2 linked regions of the Canis lupus familiaris genome follow. The protein of the gene in region 2 purifies or fractionates together with the protein of the main gene of each other region. This does not show direct contact. Links are inferred from orthologs where the notes say so. Each region holds a gene or a part of one and is shown on either strand. Other genes may lie near its edges.

Region 1 (3,814 bases), on a different chromosome or scaffold from region 2:
ATGAGGGAGCCTTCTTTTTAAGTAAATTTTTAATGGGTGCTATAATGTTTGAGTTACATGGAGAGAGGGTGACTGTACAGTCTTCATCGCTCTGTATTTGGAACAGCCTTTTGGTGACTGGCTTTTTACAACAGTGTAGAAAATCCCTGTTTAGCAATTTTTCTAAAGAAGTCATTCTTATTAAAGGTGATTTGGAAAAAGAGAAAATTTATATCTGTGCCACTGATGTTTTTCTTTTTTTCTATTTGCATTTCCTGCTCTTTCCTGTGTGTAAGGTTGTCCTGTTCTGTCTTAATAAACACAGTAGTAATTGTGCTATTTATTTATGTTGTCTTTTACCCTTCCCTTTTATATATTATATAAATCTTATGTAAACATAAATATGTTAAAACAGTTTATGAACTTTGGGCCTTCAGGTGTTATTTATTTCTTATTATATACTGTGTTCATTTCTAATTTTTTAAAAATGTCAGTAACTCTTTTATCATAGTTCAGCATTTCTGTATTTGATTTTTTTTTAAGATGTATTTATTTATTATTTTAGAGAAAGGGAGTGTGTGCAAGGCAAGGGACAGGGGAAAGGAGACCTTCAAGCAGACTCCCTGCTTAGCCCGAGGAGGAGATGAGGGACTTGCTCTTAGGATCTTGAGATCGTGATCTGAGCTAAAATCAAGAGTCGGATGCTTTTTAAAAATTACTATTTTTACTTTTGAAGATTTTATTTATTCATGAGAGACCCACAGAGAGAGGCCGAGACATAGGCAGAGGGAGAAGCAGACTTCCTGTGAGGAGCCTAATGTGGGACTCAATCCCAGGACCTTGGGATCACAACCTGAGCCAAAGGCAGATGCTCAACTACTGAGCCACCCAGGTGCCCCAAGAATTAGATGCTTATCTGAGTCACCCAGGTGCCCCTGCATTTGATTTTTTTAATCATTTTTGTAGGTTTTTTAATAATTGAGATATATATAGAACATAGACATTACTTGTCTTTTTTTCCTTAGGACCATGTAAGAATCCTTGAAGACTGCTTCAAATAATTAACTTTTGTGTTTTTTTGTTTCCCCCAGGTTATAGTTATGAGCGCTACATTAGATGCAGGGAAATTCCAGATTTACTTTGATAACTGTCCTCTCTTAACTATTCCTGGACGTACACATCCTGTTGAGATCTTTTATACTCCTGAACCAGAGAGAGATTATCTCGAAGCAGCCATTCGAACAGTGATCCAAATTCATATGTGTGAGGAGGAGGAAGGAGATCTTCTACTTTTCTTAACTGGTCAAGAGGTATTAATTGTCATTATTTGCTTAATTATTTAGCCTTTAGCATGTTAAATTATACAACAGCTTTTAAAATCTAAGAACATGGTATATATTAACCACGTATTTCTTATCCCAAGGTTTAAAGATTTTCCTCAACTTGACTGTATTTATGTATGAAGCATTATAACCCCTTTTTATATGTACTCTAAGAATACCCTTTTATACAATTGGTGTTTGTTAATTATCCTAAGAATGTTACGTGCTTTTAGAATTTCAAGATTTAGCAATTGCAGTTTTCAACTTTGGAGATACCTGAGTGGTAAGTGGTGGTGTGATAATTTGCAGCTTTGCTAAAGCATAAATTTGAACCACACAGCTGCAGTGAAATCATGTTGTCCTAGTCAGCTTGTGAGTGAAGTTGAGTGGCTTCAAATGTTTGTGTTTTGATTTTGTCTTCATGTGTTCACTGAAGATTAGAAGGAATCAGTGAAATTTCTTAGTTGGAATTTACCTCACTTTGACAGGTTTTATTCTCAGGTGTAGATTTTTTTTTTATTTTTTTGTGCTGCATTTTTTAAAACTTGTTTTCCACCGTAGGTTTATAGGTGTGCTATGAAATTCTCAAGCTAAAGTTCAGGAAAAAGCTATCTGGAGAAGACCATTTCAGAGAGCCTCTTACTGGAGGTTTTCTTAGAGCTTGTCCTCTGTTTCAGTAGGCTTTATGAACTTTCTAGAATGTATTTTTCTAACATACATGCAGTTCCACTTAGAAAATTTCCACTTACTGATTCTGATTCAGTAGGTCAGGTGTAGCCTGAGATTCTGTCTACCTAACAAGCTCCCAAGTAATGTTGAAGCTCTCCAGGGTTGAGTGGTGAGGTTTTGGGGTAGTGCTGTTCCATCAGACCTTTTGTTGGTGCTGAACATGTTCTGTCTGCCGTTCAGTATGTCACTCACCAGGAGTGTATGGCTTTTGAGGATTTGAAATGTGGCTGGTGAGAGGAGGGAATACATTTTAATTTTATAGCATTTTAATTTAAATAGCTACATGTGCCAACCTTCCTCCAGTTTCAGTTTTTGTATGGCCCACTAGTTAAGAATTGTTTTTACATTTTTAAGCAGTTGTAAATAAGAGCAAAGAATGTGCAACAGAGATGATGTGTGCATTCAAAGCCTAAATTGTTTTGGCCCTTTACAGTAAAAGGAAAAGGTCTGACCCCTGCCCCAGAACATTTTTCTCAAGTGTGATCATTGGACAGTCTACTTAGGAGAGAAGAGTAGAAGAGTTTGTTAAAAGCAAGTTCTTGGTCCTGTTCCAGACTTGCTGAGATAGGTGAAATCTGAGGCGAAAAAGGAATCTGCATCTTCAATGAGGTCTGTGGGCCATTTTTATATTTCCCTAGGTTTAAAGGTCATTGTCCCAGAGGAATGTTTAAACCAGTATAATTCCTGTAGTACATTAATGACACAACTGTAAACAGTGTTGTGGGGAATTGCTCTAATTCTCCCAGATACAAAAATCACAGGTCTTCTGTGACTGCCTACCTCCATTGGAATGTGAATTATTTTATTTGTATTCAATTTCTACAGGAATGCTTGATACACATAATATTCCAGCAAAGGCTGTTGTTTTAAGAGCTATAAATGTTGCGTCATTTCTTTGTCCTTGCATTTCTTCAGTATTTGTATGATCTATGATTTGTACCCCCATTGGCCACAATGCTTTTTCTGTAGAGCAGGTTTTTTCAACTTCACTATTTACATGGTTGGCCTATCAGTTTTTTTTGTTGTGGGGTAACCTGTGCATTGTGGCATCTTTGGTCTTTACCCATTACATGCGGTAACATTCTCTCCTCCAGTTGTAACAACCAAAAATGTCTGCAGAAACATTGTCACATGTCCCCTGGGTAGAAAATCATTCCCAGTACAAAATCATACTTGTTCTTTTGGGAAATAAAATGTGTTGCAAATTCACTTTTACAGATAAACCCTCTGTTGGTACCTGTCTTTATTTTTATGCATTTTGAATGGAAGAATTTTTATAAATTTTAGAAGCAAGAGTACCAAATGCTTTTTTGAGGGCATAAAAATGGTATTTATGCAATAATGCAGCCTTAGGCATTTGAGGTATTCATCTTGTCCTTTTGTGCCTGGTCTCTAGTTTCTTGATTCATATAGAGTGCTGTGTAGTGTATTTTCTTAAATGACTTTTTAAAATAGCCATTATGTTCAGATAACTAAGCATATTAGAATTTTATCAGAAATATCAGATGATCTCATGGTGAGAACCTGAAAGGCTTTCCTGTGATTTAACTTCTTGTATTTGGCAGCTATCCCATAGTTGGGGAAAGGAAGGGAGTAAGCCCCATGGTTTTCAAATGTGTGCTTGAGTACATGTTTTCCAATAAAGTTATTAACTGTAACTGTGAATAAGGTTTGCATATGTCCTCTTACATTTTTAAATCACCTTTTGTTGGGTGACTAGTCTTTAATTTGAAGATCTTCAGGGAGAAAGTATCAGAGTACATAATGTATTTTGTTTCATTGAT
Region 2 (4,529 bases):
GAAAAACACTTAGCTTTACAATCAAAGAGGCCTCGGTTTAAATGTCCATTTGCTGCTTCCTAGCTCTGTGACCTTGGGTACATCACTTAACCTTTATTCACCTTCCATACTTACACAGATTCAATAAATGTCTGTTGAGCACCTACTACCAGCTACTATATTAAATCCACAAGATTTAATGCAGACAGATGGGGATAACCTTTCCTGTACAAAGTTTACAACTGGATGGAGGAGGCAAGTGAGTCAAGGGGTCATTACACAACACTGTGATAAGTGCTTTGATAGCAGAAAGACAAAAAACTATGGGAACTTGGGGGTGGGATTCCCAACCCAGACTTGTGGAGTTAGGAAAGATTTCCAGATAAGGATGCTAAACATCTCAGGGATAAGTGGACATTAGCCAAGCAAAGGGTGAGAAGACTATCCAGGTAGGGGGTTGTACCCTTAAGAGACATGGGGATGGGGAGAAAGGGCCAATAACAGAAGGCACGACCGCAGATGGGGTCAGACTAAAGAGTTTTGTAGCCATCGTCAAGACATGAGTTTCAACCCAAGAGAAATGGGAGGTCGAGTCATTGACGGGTTTTAATCATTGATAGGTTACAAGATCAGAATACATTTTAAAAATTCTATACTACAAGCATCACCACTGGAGACAGGAAGAATGATTTGGAGATTATTGGAGGAATCCTGTTGAGAGGTGAGTGTATGGCTTGTGCCAATAGGGATGGAGAAGAATGTATGGATTTGGGAGACAATTAGGAGGTAAACTCAATGAAGTGTGTATCGGAGGCTCTGGGGAATGAGGGAGATAGGGCCATCCCAGATTTCTGGTTGGACCAACAGGATGAACGGTGGCACCGTTCACTGGAAAAAGAGCAGGTTTACAGAAGAACATAAAGTCAGATTTGAATTTATGGGTGTGAAGTGACTAAGGATGTGAAGCAGACTTCTGGCCATATTGGCCAGAGAAGCGGAAGGGGGGCTTGGGATGGGAAGCCATCTGTTTCCACACGGGAAGATGCCACAGGCAGCATTCCTTTTTTCCTCCTGACCTTCGTTCAGCAGCTGTTGAAGATGTACTATACGCGGGATGTTGGGGATACAGCGGTGGACCCGAAGACTGGGTTTCTGCCCCTAACCAGTTCGCCGTTTACCTCTCTCGACTTGTTCTTAATCTGCAAGATGAAAATAATAACGGGATCAAATGAAATGAGGTGACGTGACGACACCTGCTCTTCTGATTTCTACGTCTGTGGCTCGCCCCGCAGAGCGGGAAGCGAGGATACCTCGGGCACCGTGGCTTCGGGATCCTTCCCCTCAGGCTCTTCCGCGCAGGCGCCCCGGCCCGCCCCGGGTGGGGTGGGGGTGGGGTGGGGTGGGGGTGGGGCGGGCCCGAACCTGAGCCTTCTTCCCCGGGGCCAGGACCCGGCCGCGCGGAGGGTGCGGGCGGCCCGTGACGTCATCAAGCTGCGCAGCCCGCAGGGCGGGACCCGAGCGTGACAGCGCGGCCGGCGGACCCGGCTGGCTGGTGGGGAAACGAAACTGAGGGAGGAGGCGGCGGCTCTGGCAGCGGCAGGGCCAGGCCTGGTGGCGGCGGCGGCAACGGCGGCCTGACCCCCGCCTCTCCGCTCCCAGGCAGCTCACTCTCTCCCCTCAGCGTGAGTGCCGACGCGCGGCCCGGGGGGAGCGAGCGGGCGGGCGGGCGCGCGGGCTTAGCATCCTTCCCCCTCCACCGCCGCCTCGGCCGCGCACCGGCGGTGGTGACCCTCGCCGCCCCTCCCCCCGCTTCCTTCAGCCCTCCCCGCCCCCACCCGCCCTCCCGCTCCCGGCAGCCCGAGTCGCCGCCGACGAACGTCTGTGCGCACACATTCACACACTCACGTTGTTTTCAAATGAAAAGACTGGCTGGGAGAGCTGCGACCTCCTGTCGCTGCGTGGATAAGGGTGGCAGTGCCAAGCCGACACCTTGGGAGAGACGACTGGACAGGGGGTGTGAGCCCCTGCCTTGAGGGAGCAGCGGCTAGAAACAGGCCTCGGGGCTTCCCTGCCCCGAAGGGAAGTTCGCTGCCGGCGCACGTTCCTCTGGCCTGTGCGGGTCACTTGAGCGGGCCACTGGTTAAGGTGTGCGGCCTTCCCTCCTGCGCCTCAGGTTTTCCCACTGGAAAACGAGAGCGTTGGAGTAGATGATTTGGAAGGCCCCGATCTAAGGTGGCCTGGGGAGGAGCATCAGTATCTCCTGCCTTTCACACAACTCTTTACTCTCCCACCCCACCCCCTTTGTTTTTGCACCCACCCCAACGCAGTCCACATTGAGTTCCCCGTGCTTGCAGTCTCCCAGAGTCGCTAAGAATCAGATGGCCCTTTTTGCTTTTGTTAGGGACCTTTTTTTTTTTTTTTTTGGCGGGGGCGGCCTTTAAGACGATGGCTTAAAGTGAAACGTGGTCTTGCTTTCTCTTTGTTCAGCGTCCCCCGTTCTTCCTTCCCCAGGATAACCCCTGCCTGTGGCTAGTAAGAGAGACTGCCTCCTTAGAATAAGATCATGCATTGGGTTGACTGGCTCATCCTTGAGTTGTAGAGAAGCGAAACATGTAATTCAGGGTTTTGTGAGGTTGAGGGCATCAGCGGTGTCTTTGCCTTGCGTTGCTCTCTGGCTGCTGTGTCCATGTTAAAAGCCTGTTTTGTCACTCTGCACCTCCCCTTCCTCAAGGAATTGCAGCCCAGTTGGTCACCCACCTGTCTGCTCTTAACGTTTTGAGTTCTTTCTCTGAGTCTTCTTCTAGCCCATCAGTTGTATGTAAACCACACCCGATTCACTACTGCTCTCGCTTGCTCTTTAACTTGATCATTCCTTAAGGTTTCAAAATGTCACAATCACTTCATTCCATCTATTTTTTCCCCTCAATCTTACCTCTCATGTACCTACCCATGGGCATGGATAATGGTGACCTGGGACCTGATTGTTTCCATTCTTTTTTCATGGAGGTGTGTTGGTGTTCTTAAAATTATTTTCACACCAGAGTCCTATGATACGGCTACCTCTGGTTTCAATAACTTTCCCACTCTTCTGTTTCCTAAGTCAACCACTGCTTCCATTCCTTACCCTCATTGAAAACTCCCAATTCTTTCATGTTTTCAAACATCCTGAAATAAACCAAAACCAGTATTCGTATTATATTGTGTAACCTCTTAATTGTCTGGATAAAAATTATAATGGTGATGGAGCAGTCATTCTGAGATGGTCCCTTCACCTTGTAAATATTGGTTCATAATCATTAGGTTTCATAATTAATGTCCAGTATACACATGGCCAATGTTGCATGAAAAGTATAGAATAATAAGTACCCAAGACCTTTTACCCCTCTGTGGCTTGTGACTTTTTGATATCTGACATCAAGGCCCTGAGGCCTCTCAATTTGTGAGCTCCACACATTTTCCAGTAAAACGAACAGCTATTATTGAAGACTAGAGCTTGGCTAGCATCCTTCCTGGACCTCAGTTTGAGAAACTGGCACTGGAATCTGTTTGGAATTGCCAAATCCCATCCCTTTGATGATTTATATTTTGGAATCCCTACTCTGATCCTAGTGGCTCTGACAAGGGCAGCTGACGATCTGGATTTATGGTTGCAGTAACAATGAGGAGGAGAAATGATCCAGAATGCACTGCCCCTATCAAGAAACAGAAGAAAAGAGTTGCAGAGCTTGCCCTGAACCTGAGCTCTACGTCTGATGACGAACCTCCCTCTTCTGTCAATCATGGAGCAAAAGGTATGCTTGCCCATGTGATGTGAAGCCACTGGCCATCTGGTTATTTGAATCCCAGGTGCCTGAATTGGGCAGAACACGGTCAGCTACCCCTTGAGGGAAGTTGAGCAAGTTCTACAGAGAGATGTTGGCTCTAGCCTCTCTTCCCTTCTGCTAGTCTACTAAGAATGGGCAACTTGTTTTAGATAAAAAATTGGAATGTTAACAGTACTGTCTTAGTTCTGTGGCTAGTCTTGCAGTAGGTGGCACTCTTTTGCTGCCTTAAACCAGTTGGAAGTAGTGGTGAGCACTGAGTGCCCTGTGCTGTTAATTGCTGCTAATGATCCTGGGGCTCTTTCACAGGGGATGGGCTCTTGGCTGCATGAGCTGACCTAATTCCCCTCAGGTTTTTGCATTCTGTTTTCTCAATTCCCTCAGCTGTTGTGATCAGAAACACCCAAATGAGTTAGAGTATCCCTGTGTTCACTGTTGACACTAAGCTCAAAAGATTTCACTGATCTGGTTGAAACGAACATTTTACTCTGCCTGTTTTTTAGGGTTATGGACATACAATGTCCATAGATGCCTTTCTGTGAAAGAAATTGTAGAGTGCCTAGGAGCTTGCTTGCCTCAAATACCAAGCAATTAGAAGCAGCTCTATTTGCATTTACCTTGACTTGCCAGCTTTATTCATTTCCTGGGGCTGCTGAAACAAAGTACCACAAACTTAGATGGCTTATAACAACAGAATTTTATTCTCCATAGTTCTGGATGCTACATGTC

The links.
Region 1: the proteins of CMTR1 (region 2) and DHX15 purify together in Homo sapiens (co-immunoprecipitation; 3 studies listed by BioGRID and IntAct, with this or other methods). This does not show direct contact. The link is inferred for Canis lupus familiaris from reciprocal best matches to the Homo sapiens genes CMTR1 and DHX15.

What each region holds. Positions count from the first base shown.
Region 1 is NC_049224.1:86,179,443-86,183,256, forward strand, and holds part of DHX15 (pre-mRNA-splicing factor ATP-dependent RNA helicase DHX15), read left to right. Parts: intron 1-1,070; coding exon 1,071-1,289; intron 1,290-3,814.
Region 2 is NC_049233.1:6,635,329-6,639,857, forward strand, and holds the start of CMTR1 (cap-specific mRNA (nucleoside-2'-O-)-methyltransferase 1), read left to right. Parts: upstream 1-1,483; 5' UTR 1,484-1,661; intron 1,662-3,588; 5' UTR 3,589-3,622; coding exon 3,623-3,770; intron 3,771-4,529. UniProt on the Homo sapiens protein: S-adenosyl-L-methionine-dependent methyltransferase that mediates mRNA cap1 2'-O-ribose methylation to the 5'-cap structure of mRNAs.